Linked DNA regions of Caenorhabditis elegans. The protein of the gene in region 1 purifies or fractionates together with the protein of each later gene. This does not show direct contact. Each region holds a gene or a part of one and is shown in the gene's direction. Other genes may lie near its edges. The genes, in order: lys-8, dao-3 and Y105E8A.11.

Evidence for each region.
Region 2: the proteins of lys-8 (region 1) and dao-3 fractionate together in Caenorhabditis elegans (co-fractionation; one large-scale study listed by BioGRID). This does not show direct contact.
Region 3: the proteins of lys-8 (region 1) and Y105E8A.11 fractionate together in Caenorhabditis elegans (co-fractionation; one large-scale study listed by BioGRID). This does not show direct contact.

Annotation. Positions count from the first base shown.
Region 1 is NC_003280.10:5,584,107-5,587,866, forward strand, and holds lys-8 (LYSozyme), read left to right. Parts: upstream 1-2,071; 5' UTR 2,072-2,072; coding exon 2,073-2,323; intron 2,324-2,631; coding exon 2,632-2,908; intron 2,909-3,104; coding exon 3,105-3,437; 3' UTR 3,438-3,545; downstream 3,546-3,760. Other genes in the region: C17G10.13 (THAP-type domain-containing protein), read right to left, coding at 3,597-3,760.
Region 2 is NC_003284.9:8,084,892-8,088,651, reverse strand, and holds the start of dao-3 (C-1-tetrahydrofolate synthase, cytoplasmic), read left to right. Parts: upstream 1-2,101; 5' UTR 2,102-2,102; coding exon 2,103-2,225; intron 2,226-2,514; coding exon 2,515-2,688; intron 2,689-2,810; coding exon 2,811-3,189; intron 3,190-3,654; coding exon 3,655-3,760. Other genes in the region: Protein vem-1, read left to right, coding at 91-213, 273-524, 741-917.
Region 3 is NC_003279.8:14,430,753-14,434,349, forward strand, and holds Y105E8A.11 (BolA-like protein 3), read left to right. Parts: upstream 1-2,038; 5' UTR 2,039-2,040; coding exon 2,041-2,212; intron 2,213-2,769; coding exon 2,770-2,918; 3' UTR 2,919-2,998; downstream 2,999-3,597. Other genes in the region: hpo-13 (Non-lysosomal glucosylceramidase), read left to right, coding at 667-931.

The DNA of each region.
Region 1 (3,760 bases):
CTCAAAACAACTGGAAAACGGACACAAAGTTGCAACCAGCAATGAACGATGCAATTGCAAAGAATGCGGTCGTTCTGGCATCAGCTGAAAGAAACTTGCAGACTCGAGGGCCCAAGCATCTCAAAAGAGTCAAAAAGTTTCTTTACGGTCAATATCCAAAGGTTTGTTATCAGGAATCAATATTCAAAGCTCTAGTTTCTTCAGAAGTTTTTCATAAATGTAACCATAAAGTTTCACTTTTCAGTATGTGGATATGAAGAGAGATCTGCTGAAGGTTGTCAAACAACAGAAGCCGGAAACCCAAAGTGTTCGCGATGAAAGTGCTCAAGCGATTTCGAAGTTCATCAAGGAAAAGTATGTGAATGCCAAAATATTGCATCTCGGAGAAATTCAAAGTGCTTTCGTCGAGTTGAGCGTTAGTTTTTTTTGAATATATTATTTATTTACACAAATTATCATTTCAGTTTTTCCATCGTACATCCGCTTTCACTTGGCATCAAATCGCTGAACGACAACCTCCAAAGTCTTCATATCACACCGAGAACTTCGACTTTCAACAATTCTTCACAGCACCTCCAAAAATGTAAACTTTGACGTCACCAATGATTTTTTTATGATGATTTATGATAATAAAGTGAGAGAGAAATGTGTGTGTATTCAGAAGGAAAAAACATAAGTAAATACAGGAAGAAGCTAAAAAAGAATATATATTCGTTTTTTTACGATATCATTGAATTTCTGATTTTTCAATTTTCAAAGGAACATTGGATATAGAACAAGCTATATGATATCTGGAACATCAAAATGTGGCATAATATTAAAAGTAATGAAATAGGCGGTAGGCACATAGACAGGCAGGCGGGCAGTAGGATCACGAAAGAAATACAGAACATCGACGACAGGCATGAAGGTAGACATGTGGCAGGCAAGTACGGATGGAAACTAAAATACTGAAAACCCAATGTAGGTAGGAGAGCCTAAAGAGGTCCCTGGATATAATTGAAGCCACTTTAAAGTTAAGTAAATATACGTTAACTGAAGAATTCAACAATTTGGCCAAGAATTAGTTGAAATTAATAATGGATCAAAAATCTTCAAAGTTTTTAGAAAATACCAATAATTGGCTTCAGGACTAAAATTTATCGTTTTTGTTATTTGTTCAATGAATAGACAGACACGTCACTTTTCATTATCAAATACTAAATTGATCTCGAAATGGATCTACAATTTCAGCTGTTTCAACAATTCGAATTCTTTACTCTCTGTTCCTCTGGAAATGACATCACTTCTTAAACTCGTCATCTTCGTTTTTATTCCATCCAAAGACAAATCTCGACTAATTGAATTCACATTAAAAATAGATTAATGATTTTTAAACAATTGGATTGCTCACAGGGGCTATCGTTGGATGTTAGTACAGTTTAAACAGACATGTTAAACGGTAAAAATATAGTGAAATGGGAAAAATTATGGAACAAGAAGGAGAATGTTTATTCAGCTGCAAATGGGATTTTTGTATAAAAGAATTGGTATAGTGCTGAAGGAGAATATCATACATTTTACAGTTCTAGTTTTCAAGAACTTTCAATTTTCTTCGCTGTTATGGTCAAAGTTGAACGTAAAACATATGCATAATCGCTTTGAAAATCTTACCACTATCTGTTAGTCAGAAAAAAATTGTGTTCACTTATGAACTATCAATTTAATAAAAGACAACAAATTGTCATTTACGAGAATTTGAACCTAGAAAAAATCATCAAAACGCCCACGCTCAATTACCGGTATTCCACATAATTTGTGATGTTCTTTTCATCGACATTAATGACATAAAAGTGTGTACACAGTTACTGATAACAGAGTGTGATATCATGATAATGTTTTCCGAAATTATAAATTCAGATGGACAAGCGGTACTTGCCAGCTCTTTGATAAAGACTATAAATCATGATAACCACTCCAGTTTCTTCAACATTTCGGTTTAGTATTTGATTTTTATAAAATTTGGTTTCTTATTCTTTGTTCTTTTTGTTAATAATTTTCTCTTAACTCATTCAAGTTGAACATTTTCTAGAATGCTTCTCAAATCAGTGGCTCTTTTGTCAGTACTGGCAGTACTTTGCCATTCGGCTTCAGTCTCCGTCAAGGTCCTTCCATTCGTTGACTCATCTCTTCCAGTCAAATTCAGAGAAGTCATTGCTGAGGCTGCTCCACGAGTTCCACCAAATTTGGCTTCATATGCTTTCGCTGTTGATTTGTCTGTTCCAGTTTCATTGAGCCAGCTTCAGTGCCTCAAACAAGCTGGTTATTCGGCAGTCTTTGTCCGGTAAGAATTGAAAAAGATTTTATGATTTACCTATCTATAAATTGTTATTTATAAAAAAAAGTTGAATCTTTTTTTGCCCAAGGTTGGCCCAAGTGTAAAGATATTGTCAACAGTTGAATTAAACTTGAGCTAAACCAGAACAAGTTCTGGTCATGTATTGTCACTTCAGAACCTTTTTAATATTTTTGGCCAAACTTGGGCAAACATTTGCCTGCTTTCGTTTCTGATTAATTCATTTTTCGATTCCAAACGTTCATAATTTGATGAACATTTTCTAAAACTCCATAACAATTAAATCGAATTTCCAGTGCATACAACCCAGCTGGACAAGGATCCTTCGACACCAACTCCTGCAATACTATTCAGAATGCGTATAACGCTGGACTCGGAACAGAGATCTACATGACTCCACAGCCGGCTTCAAGCAAGCAAGGATACCAACAATTGGATGAGATCTACCAAGGATTGACTGCAAGAGGAATAACAATCAGATCTGTATGGATCCAGGTCACTTCTCCAACCAACTGGCCAAGCAATGCTAATAACAATGTCAACTTTATCAACAGTATTGTGTCAAGAGCTAGAGTAAGTTTCCTGTAGAAGCTTGATTTTTTGCTCAAGGAATTGAAATACATTCAAATACGAAAACTCGAATGATTCGTATTATAGTCTAAAACATTGATTAATCTGATAAGACCTTTGGGTTAAGACGTTTTTAAACTGAACCGATTAGTTCATACTTCTGCAACAAATTTCATATCAAAATTCATATAATTTACAGCAATATGGAATGACTGTCGGAATCTACACTTCCTACTACGACTGGAACCAGATCACCAACGGATGGAGCAGCATTGGAAATGATGTTCTCCTCTGGTACTGGAATGTCCTTGGAGGTGGTGTCAATGGAGAGACCCCGGCCAGTTTTGCTGATTTCCGCGCGTTCGGATGCTGGACTACTCCATCTGTCAAACAATTCGCTCAAGTTGAGCAAGTTTGCCAGTTCACTGTCAACAGAGATGTTTATGCTGCTGGAACTATGCTCAAGGCCGCTGACGCTGTTGAAGAGGATGGAAAGATCTACGCTGGAGGATTCATTCAAGGAAGTCAATAGATTTTATCAGTTCCGAAAATAAGTGGAATTTGACTACTTATATTTTGTATCTAACTGTACCCCCAATATGTTATGAAAATCTGAAAATAAAGTTTATTACAAAAAAACAAAACACGAGAATCTAAAAACAAATAACAACAAAACAATGCGAGCTTGGCTCTAATTTTCTATATCTATTTCCGAGTCCGTTCCCTTTTCCATTTTGATATTCGTATTGTCTTCTTTGACTTCAACGAACGTGTTTCCTTCAAGCTTGAATGCCAGTACTTTCTCCTGGGAAACAACATTTGGAACAGCTGTTTTAAGAAGTCGTCCACGAGAAC
Region 2 (3,760 bases), on another chromosome or scaffold:
CCTCGCACTAATGGTTTGATCTATCAACGACCACCATATGTTCGAGTTTCAATTTTATACGTTTGTCATTTTTTCAGCTGTACAGTCACAATGGATCTTAGCTCTTGGTTTGAATTCACAATGTACGACGCGGTCTTCCTTGTCGTCGTTCTCGGATTCTTTTTCTACTGGCTCACCAGATCCGAGCAACCGCTCCCAGCTCCACCAAAAGAAGTAAGTATTTGATTAGCTTCTTTAATGAACATGTATTTTTTCTAAATCCTGAACTTAAGCTCGCCCCATTGCCAATGTCCGATATGACAGTTGAAGAGCTGCGCAAGTACGATGGTGTCAAAAATGAGCACATTCTGTTTGGACTCAACGGAACTATCTATGACGTGACTCGCGGAAAAGGATTTTACGGACCAGGAAAAGCCTACGGTACACTTGCCGGGCATGACGCTACCCGCGCGCTTGGAACCATGGACCAGAATGCTGTTTCTAGCGAGTGGGATGATCATACTGGAATCTCTGCTGACGAGCAGGTAGGCTATGCAGTTTTCTCATGAGTAAGAACGTGAAAGTTCGTTATAAACATTTAATCCTTAAAGTCATTGTTTTATGATTTGTGGTATTTATTCATAACTCAGGCATAAACCATAACTTTTTTGTGTCATCAATATGACATCGAAGCTAATTCAAATGTATATTGCCTCGGTCAGATTGATTGTGAACAAAAAAACCTAAATTGATTTTTACAGGAAACCGCCAACGAATGGGAGACACAGTTCAAATTCAAGTACTTGACTGTTGGACGTCTGGTAAAGAATAGCTCGGAAAAAGCAGATTATGGAAATAGAAAATCGTTTGTTCGTGGAGCCGAGTCTTTGGATTCGATTATCAATGGTGGCGACGAGGGCACAAAAAAGGATAACTAATTGTATTCAAATCCATAATTGTTGCACATTCCAAAACGGTTACATCTTATTTTATGTTCTTTGTATGATATGAAATCCCATTGTCCATCCCTTCTCACCATCTCTCGCAAATTTTATATAAATACTGTGATTTAGTTGTTTTTCAAATCGAAGAATGATTTTGAATAAATGATTTTTGTGTACGCCTTTGAAAAATGTTAATATTTAATATTTACTTCATTATTTTCACTGTTCAATTGCTCCGATAATTTGGATTGTGCAGGTTTTAGGACATTATTGATAAGACTTGTTTTCTTCATTTTAAATCATTTGAAAAAAACATTTGAGAATAACATGTTTTGATTTCTGGTTAATAGAAATAGACACTTTTTAAAAATCAACGTTTCCCAGTTTATAAGAAAAATAATGAGTTTCACATTCAAATTTGCAAGGTAAGAAGTTTTCATGATAAGATCCCAGTCCCATTGTAGTCAAAATGTTGATATGATTATTGTTTTTATCTCGGCAAATTGCTGGGTAAAAAGAGATTTTGCGTCGTATGGATGCCGATAAGATTTCTGTGTTATGCGCGCGCATTGCATGCAAGGCCAGCCGCCGACTGTTATCGATTTTCATGGTCCGCCGCCACGCGTTCGTATTGGACATTTCTGCACTGTGTCCATTATTTTGATATATTGTTAACATATAAGGCAGCAAAAACTTTCAAAAGTATTATTTTCATGTGACAAAAATTGAATTTTGTTCCTTGATACACTGTTTTCATTTTCAAGCAAACATGTTTAATGCGGAAGCTTTGACATCGAAACTGTCGGTGGAACATGTATTTTCCATGAGAATGTCGCTGACAAGCAACTCTAGTCACTCGACACATAAAATCATAGCGATCTTCAGCATAAGATAACAAGGCCAGGCCGTTTTAAAACTCTTCTCATCACTCCCCCACAAACAACAGACCGCTATGCATATTCAACTTTTTCGACGCTTTATTTTTTCACTCTGTCCCCCACCATCGAAATGTGAATATGTGCTAAGTTTCCAATCAGCTTGTCCTCTGACTTCTGCACTAGTCTCTTCCCATGAATAGCCAAGTACAAGAGGAGTTTCGTACTCTTTTCCTTTACTCTTCCCCTTCTTGTTTTCTTGACGTATTTTTCAACTTGATTATTACTTTGTTTATTTTTTAGAATGGTCGCGGAGATCGTCAGTGGACTCGAGTACTCAAAAAAGGTTCTTCACGATGTCGGACAGAAAATCGCAAAAACCCGTGAGCACCACCCAAATTTTCATGCAGTATTGGCAATTGTTCAGGTATGAAAGCTTACCACTGATAATAATTTTATTTCAAGCATTGCTATTAACTTAATAATATTTCTAAATTGAATATATGAAAATGAAAATCTCTGTCCAATCTGTGTTTTGAGTTCATGACGTACATAAGTGCATTGCATACTTACAAAACAGATTTTGAAAGTTTTGCAGAGCGTAATTTGTAGTTGTGGTGTACTTTTGAGATACCGGCTTTTATTTCGTAACAAGACAAATAATATCCGAGGGGATATCTGTTATACTGAATAACTCAAAGTCTCAAAATTTGCAGGTTGGAAATCGTTCAGACTCCAATGTGTACATTAATTCCAAACTGAAAAAAGCAAAGGAAATCGGAGCAGATGGAAAACTCATTAAGTTGCCAGACACCATCACTCAAGGAGATTTGAAGCGAGAGATTATGGCTCTTAATCATGACAACGAGATTGACGGAATTATCATTCAGGTTAATATAACGGATTAAGTTGTAATATTGAAATGTTAACTTATAACGGAAAAAAAACACATCTCAGTTAATTAAAAAAAAACATCGGAAGCTAAACAATAATAGCAAGTTATTAATTTCAGCTTCCACTGGACTGCAAGCACGAAATCGACGCAGACTCTGTTATCGACTTGATTGACCCATTGAAAGATGTCGATGGACTGACTCGTATCAATGCTGGACGTTTGGCTCGTGGAGAACTCCAGCGTACGATCTTTCCTTGCACTCCGTTTGGATGCTTGTACTTGGTTCAACAGGCAACTGGTGATGCCAACTTTGTGTCTGGAAAGGAGGTGGTTGTTTTGGGACGCTCGAAAATTGTCGGATCTCCAGCCGCTGCGCTTTTCTTGTGGCATCATGGAACTGTGACAATCTGCCACTCAAAAACTCCAAATCTCAAGGAGAAATGCCTGAGAGCAGATATTTTGATTGTGGCAATTGGGAGAAAACATTTCGTCAAAGGTAGATTATCAATAAACCTAAATTTGAGATAGTGCACAGTACTGGCCATACAGATATCAAAAGATTGATTTCAACTTCAGCAAACGTGGTTATTCCGAGCTGAGATCTGACTATAGTAAAATAGTGAAAGTTTTTATATCCTGATTTTTTGGAATTCATCATTGAACAAATTTCGCGTTGCTTTTTTCATAATTACGCCCAAATCCATTTAAAAGAAGAATCTTGGCAAAAGTTATTACGAGTAGACCTTTATATGAGCAGCACGGTATTTACTTGCTAACCTAAAAGTTTGTAAGTCATTAAATTATGCAAAATATCTATAATAGAAACCCCAATTTAAGAACTATCAATGTTTAGTATGCACCTGACTGTTTGCAACTTCTGAATTGTTTTGCATCAAATAGAAACAGACTCTCTGTTCTGATAAGTGTCAGCGTTTTTTACAAATAAAAGCATATATTTCAGCTGATTGGATCAAGCCTGGCGCATTCGTCATCGACTGTGGAATCAACGTTGGTGACGACCCAAACTCACGCAAAATTTACGGAGATGTTGACACAGAAGCCGCAAA
Region 3 (3,597 bases), on another chromosome or scaffold:
CATATTTGATCGTGAAATAAATTATTACCGTAAATCCACATAAGCAGTACAGTAGCATTTTAAAGAATTACTATAGTTGTCGCTACGAGATATTTTTTGCGCGTTAAATGTGTTGTGCAACACGCATATTTAGTGTTCATATAATACGTTTTATAAAACATTAAACGATAAATTTAAATTTCCCGAATTTTGAACTCGAAAAACTGAAAATCGAAAAAATTGTGAGGAAAAGAAATTTGTTGAAAAAAAAAACTGAAATTTGTTTTTTTTAATAGATTTTTCCAAAAAAAAAAAAAAAAAATTTTCCACACATTTCTAAAAAAAATCCCAAAAAAAATTCAAAAATTAGAAAAAAATCCAAAAAAATCAAAAATTATTTTTTCAAACTTCCAAAAATACTCGTAATCCCAAAAAAAAAAGTTTGAAACTTTACAAAAAATTAAAAAAAAACATTAAAACTTTTTTTTTTTTGATTCCAGAAAAATTTGGATATTCAAAAAAGCAAAAATTCATAAAACTAATTCCAAAAAATGGAAATTTATTTTTAAAAATAGAAACAAAAAATTCATATCCAAAAAAACAATAATTTTGGAATTTTTTTTTTATTTCCAAACATTTTTTCTTTAAAAAATCCCAAAAATTAATCCTAAAATATCCGAATTTCAGATTCTACCGAGCCATTGGTTACATGCGTCCTCTATCGATTTGGGCAATGCAATGGTCACTAAAAAAGCATTGTGGAATGAATACGAGTGAAGAAAAATTGCCGAATTTGGTGAAAAATGAAAAAGTTGTTCCGGAATCCGAAGCAGCAATTCAAGTACAGAAACAACGAATATTAGGGGATACAAGTGAAGATGGTTCGAGTTTAGGATATGTTAGTGATTATCATGATGAGAGGAGTATTCCAAAGATTGCTACACTACGATAATTGTACTTTTTAACTGATTTTTTTGGATATTTTCCCGATTTTTTGTATTTTACGTGGTCTTTTATTTTTCGAATTTTCGATTGTGCAATGACGTTTTTACAATGCAATACAAGTATTTTTTTGAAAAATTTTTTCTGATTTTTATATTTTCTGTTGTCCATTTAGGATATCAATTTATGCTATTTGCCTTTTTTTTTTTTTTTGGAAAAAAAATTTGAATTTCTTGAAAAAGTTAGCTAATTACGGTGTTTTTTAGGATGAGCTTTTTTTTTTGAAAAATTAAAAACATTTTTTGAATTTTTTCCTCAATTTTTTGAAAATGTTATAGTAATCACGGAAGCTTAAATTTAAAAAAAAACCATTTAGAATTTTTTTTTCACAATTTTGAAACTGATTTTTTTTTTTGAGAAAATTCGCATTTTTTCAACAAAAAAATTCTGAAAAATGTTGACAATCTGTATTTTTAAGCTAATTTTTAAAAGCTTAATAATTGGGAAAAAAATCAAAAAAATTCAATTTCATGTAATGTAAATTATGCATTGCAGGTGACTTTTTGAATGTAAAATTTGAAAAATTTGATTAAAAAAAGTTTTTTTTGAATATTTCGCTAAAGGAATACTTTCTAATTAACTAGATAAATATTTTAACTTTTAAAGCATTTTCTGGTAATTTTTTGGAATTTTCAAATATTACGAATTTTTGTCGAAGTTGAATTCTAGAAAATCTTTAAAAAAGTTTGAATTTTTTGAAAATTTTTTCGAAAAAAAAAAATTTAATTACTTTTTTGAAAAATAGAACAAATGTAACATTTATTATATAATATATAATAGTATATAATAATATAATAATATTTAATAATATATAAAATATATAATAATAATATATAATAGAACATTTATTGATTTTTTTTCGAAAATTTCAATTTTTTTTCTAATTTTTAAACTAAAAAAGCTAAAATTACGAATTTTCGGCATTTTTCAGAATTTATAAAAACCTCGAGAATTTGAAAAAATAACAAATTTTTTGTTTAAATGTGAAATTTCTTGTTTTTTTTTCTCTCCAAATCTGAAAAAAATCGAAAAAAAAGCTATCATTTCTCGAAATTTCAGATGCTCCGCCTTGCCACCCCACTGAGATCAGGCCTCCTCTCCTCAGCAATCAGGCGTCACTCGGCATGTTGTGGTGGAGAGCACAAAATGTCAGAAGCCGAGCTGAAAATGAGCAAGTTGCTCACTGAGGGAATTGATGGATGTACTCGTGTCGAGGTTCACGATGTTTCTAGTGAGTACGCTACAAACTACAATAGGCATACTACAGACTACAAAATATACACTACAAACTACAATAATCACACTACAAACTACAATAGACATACTATAAACTAGTATAATCAGACTAATATTTGTAGTTTGTAGTCTATACGTGGGGTATTCATTCATGATTTTTTTGTTCCGCTCACAAAATTAATGGTAGAAATAATGAAAAACAAGTTAGTTACTGTATACTATAAACTACAAACTACAAACTACGAAATATAAACTGCAAGCCAAACACTACAAACTATAAACTATACACTACAAACTATAAAATGTACACTATAAATTCCAAATTATACAACACTAACTACAAACCATACACTACAAACTACAAAATATATCCACAAACTACTATCTATACACTACAAACTACAAATTGTATACGACCAACTACAAGCTAAACACTACAAACTATAAAATGTACACTATAAATTCCAAACTATACAAAACTAACTACAAACTCCAAAATATACCCTACAAACTACAAACTATACACTACAAACTACAAGCTCCATATTACAGATGGCTGCGGATCAATGTTCGACGTGGTCGTTGAAGCCGCCGGTTTCAAGGGAAAATCGAAAGTTGCTCAACACAAACAGGTCACCTCCATTCTCCGGGAGCAGATTAAGGATATGCATGGGCTCACGATCAAGACAAAAGCCGCCTAGATACTAATTATCGATTTTTTTTGTCTAGTTATTGATTAGTTCAAAGGACATAATATCGTAAAGAATATTTTAAATTCGAACTTTTTGAATATTGTAGATCTCTTTTTTTGCAAAAAAATCGAAATTCGCGCGCGCTAATCAGGAGATCATTTACCAATGGATTCGATGCACATGAGATAAAATATTGGGAGAAAGGGGAAAATATCTGAAAAATGGGTTAGAAATGGCTGAAAATTACGAAAAATCGATAGTCGATGCACCATGACGCCAGTTTTTTTGCTGAATTTTGCGAAATATAGGCCTGAATTGTGTGAAGTCTTAAAAAGGGCGGACTAGAAGATAAGCCTGTAAATTTCGATCTGAACAAAAAATAGTCAGAATATAATAGTTCTAAGAATGTTTAATACTGTTTTTGTACAACATTATGTATTTAGTTTATCCATGTCTTTATACAATACAACTCTTATTTTATTTCATCACGAGTTTAATCGGTAATAAATCAAATCAATAGAATTATTTTATTAATAGAATAAAGGTATAGGATGTAACTGCCACTCACGCACACTGATCGATCTTATAAGGGTTTATTAAGTAAAAGGGAACAGACGAATTGCATCGTCGAAACAGAGTAAACGAGAGAAAAGGGAAAACGACAAGTAACGGGTCAAAGAGTTAAGAA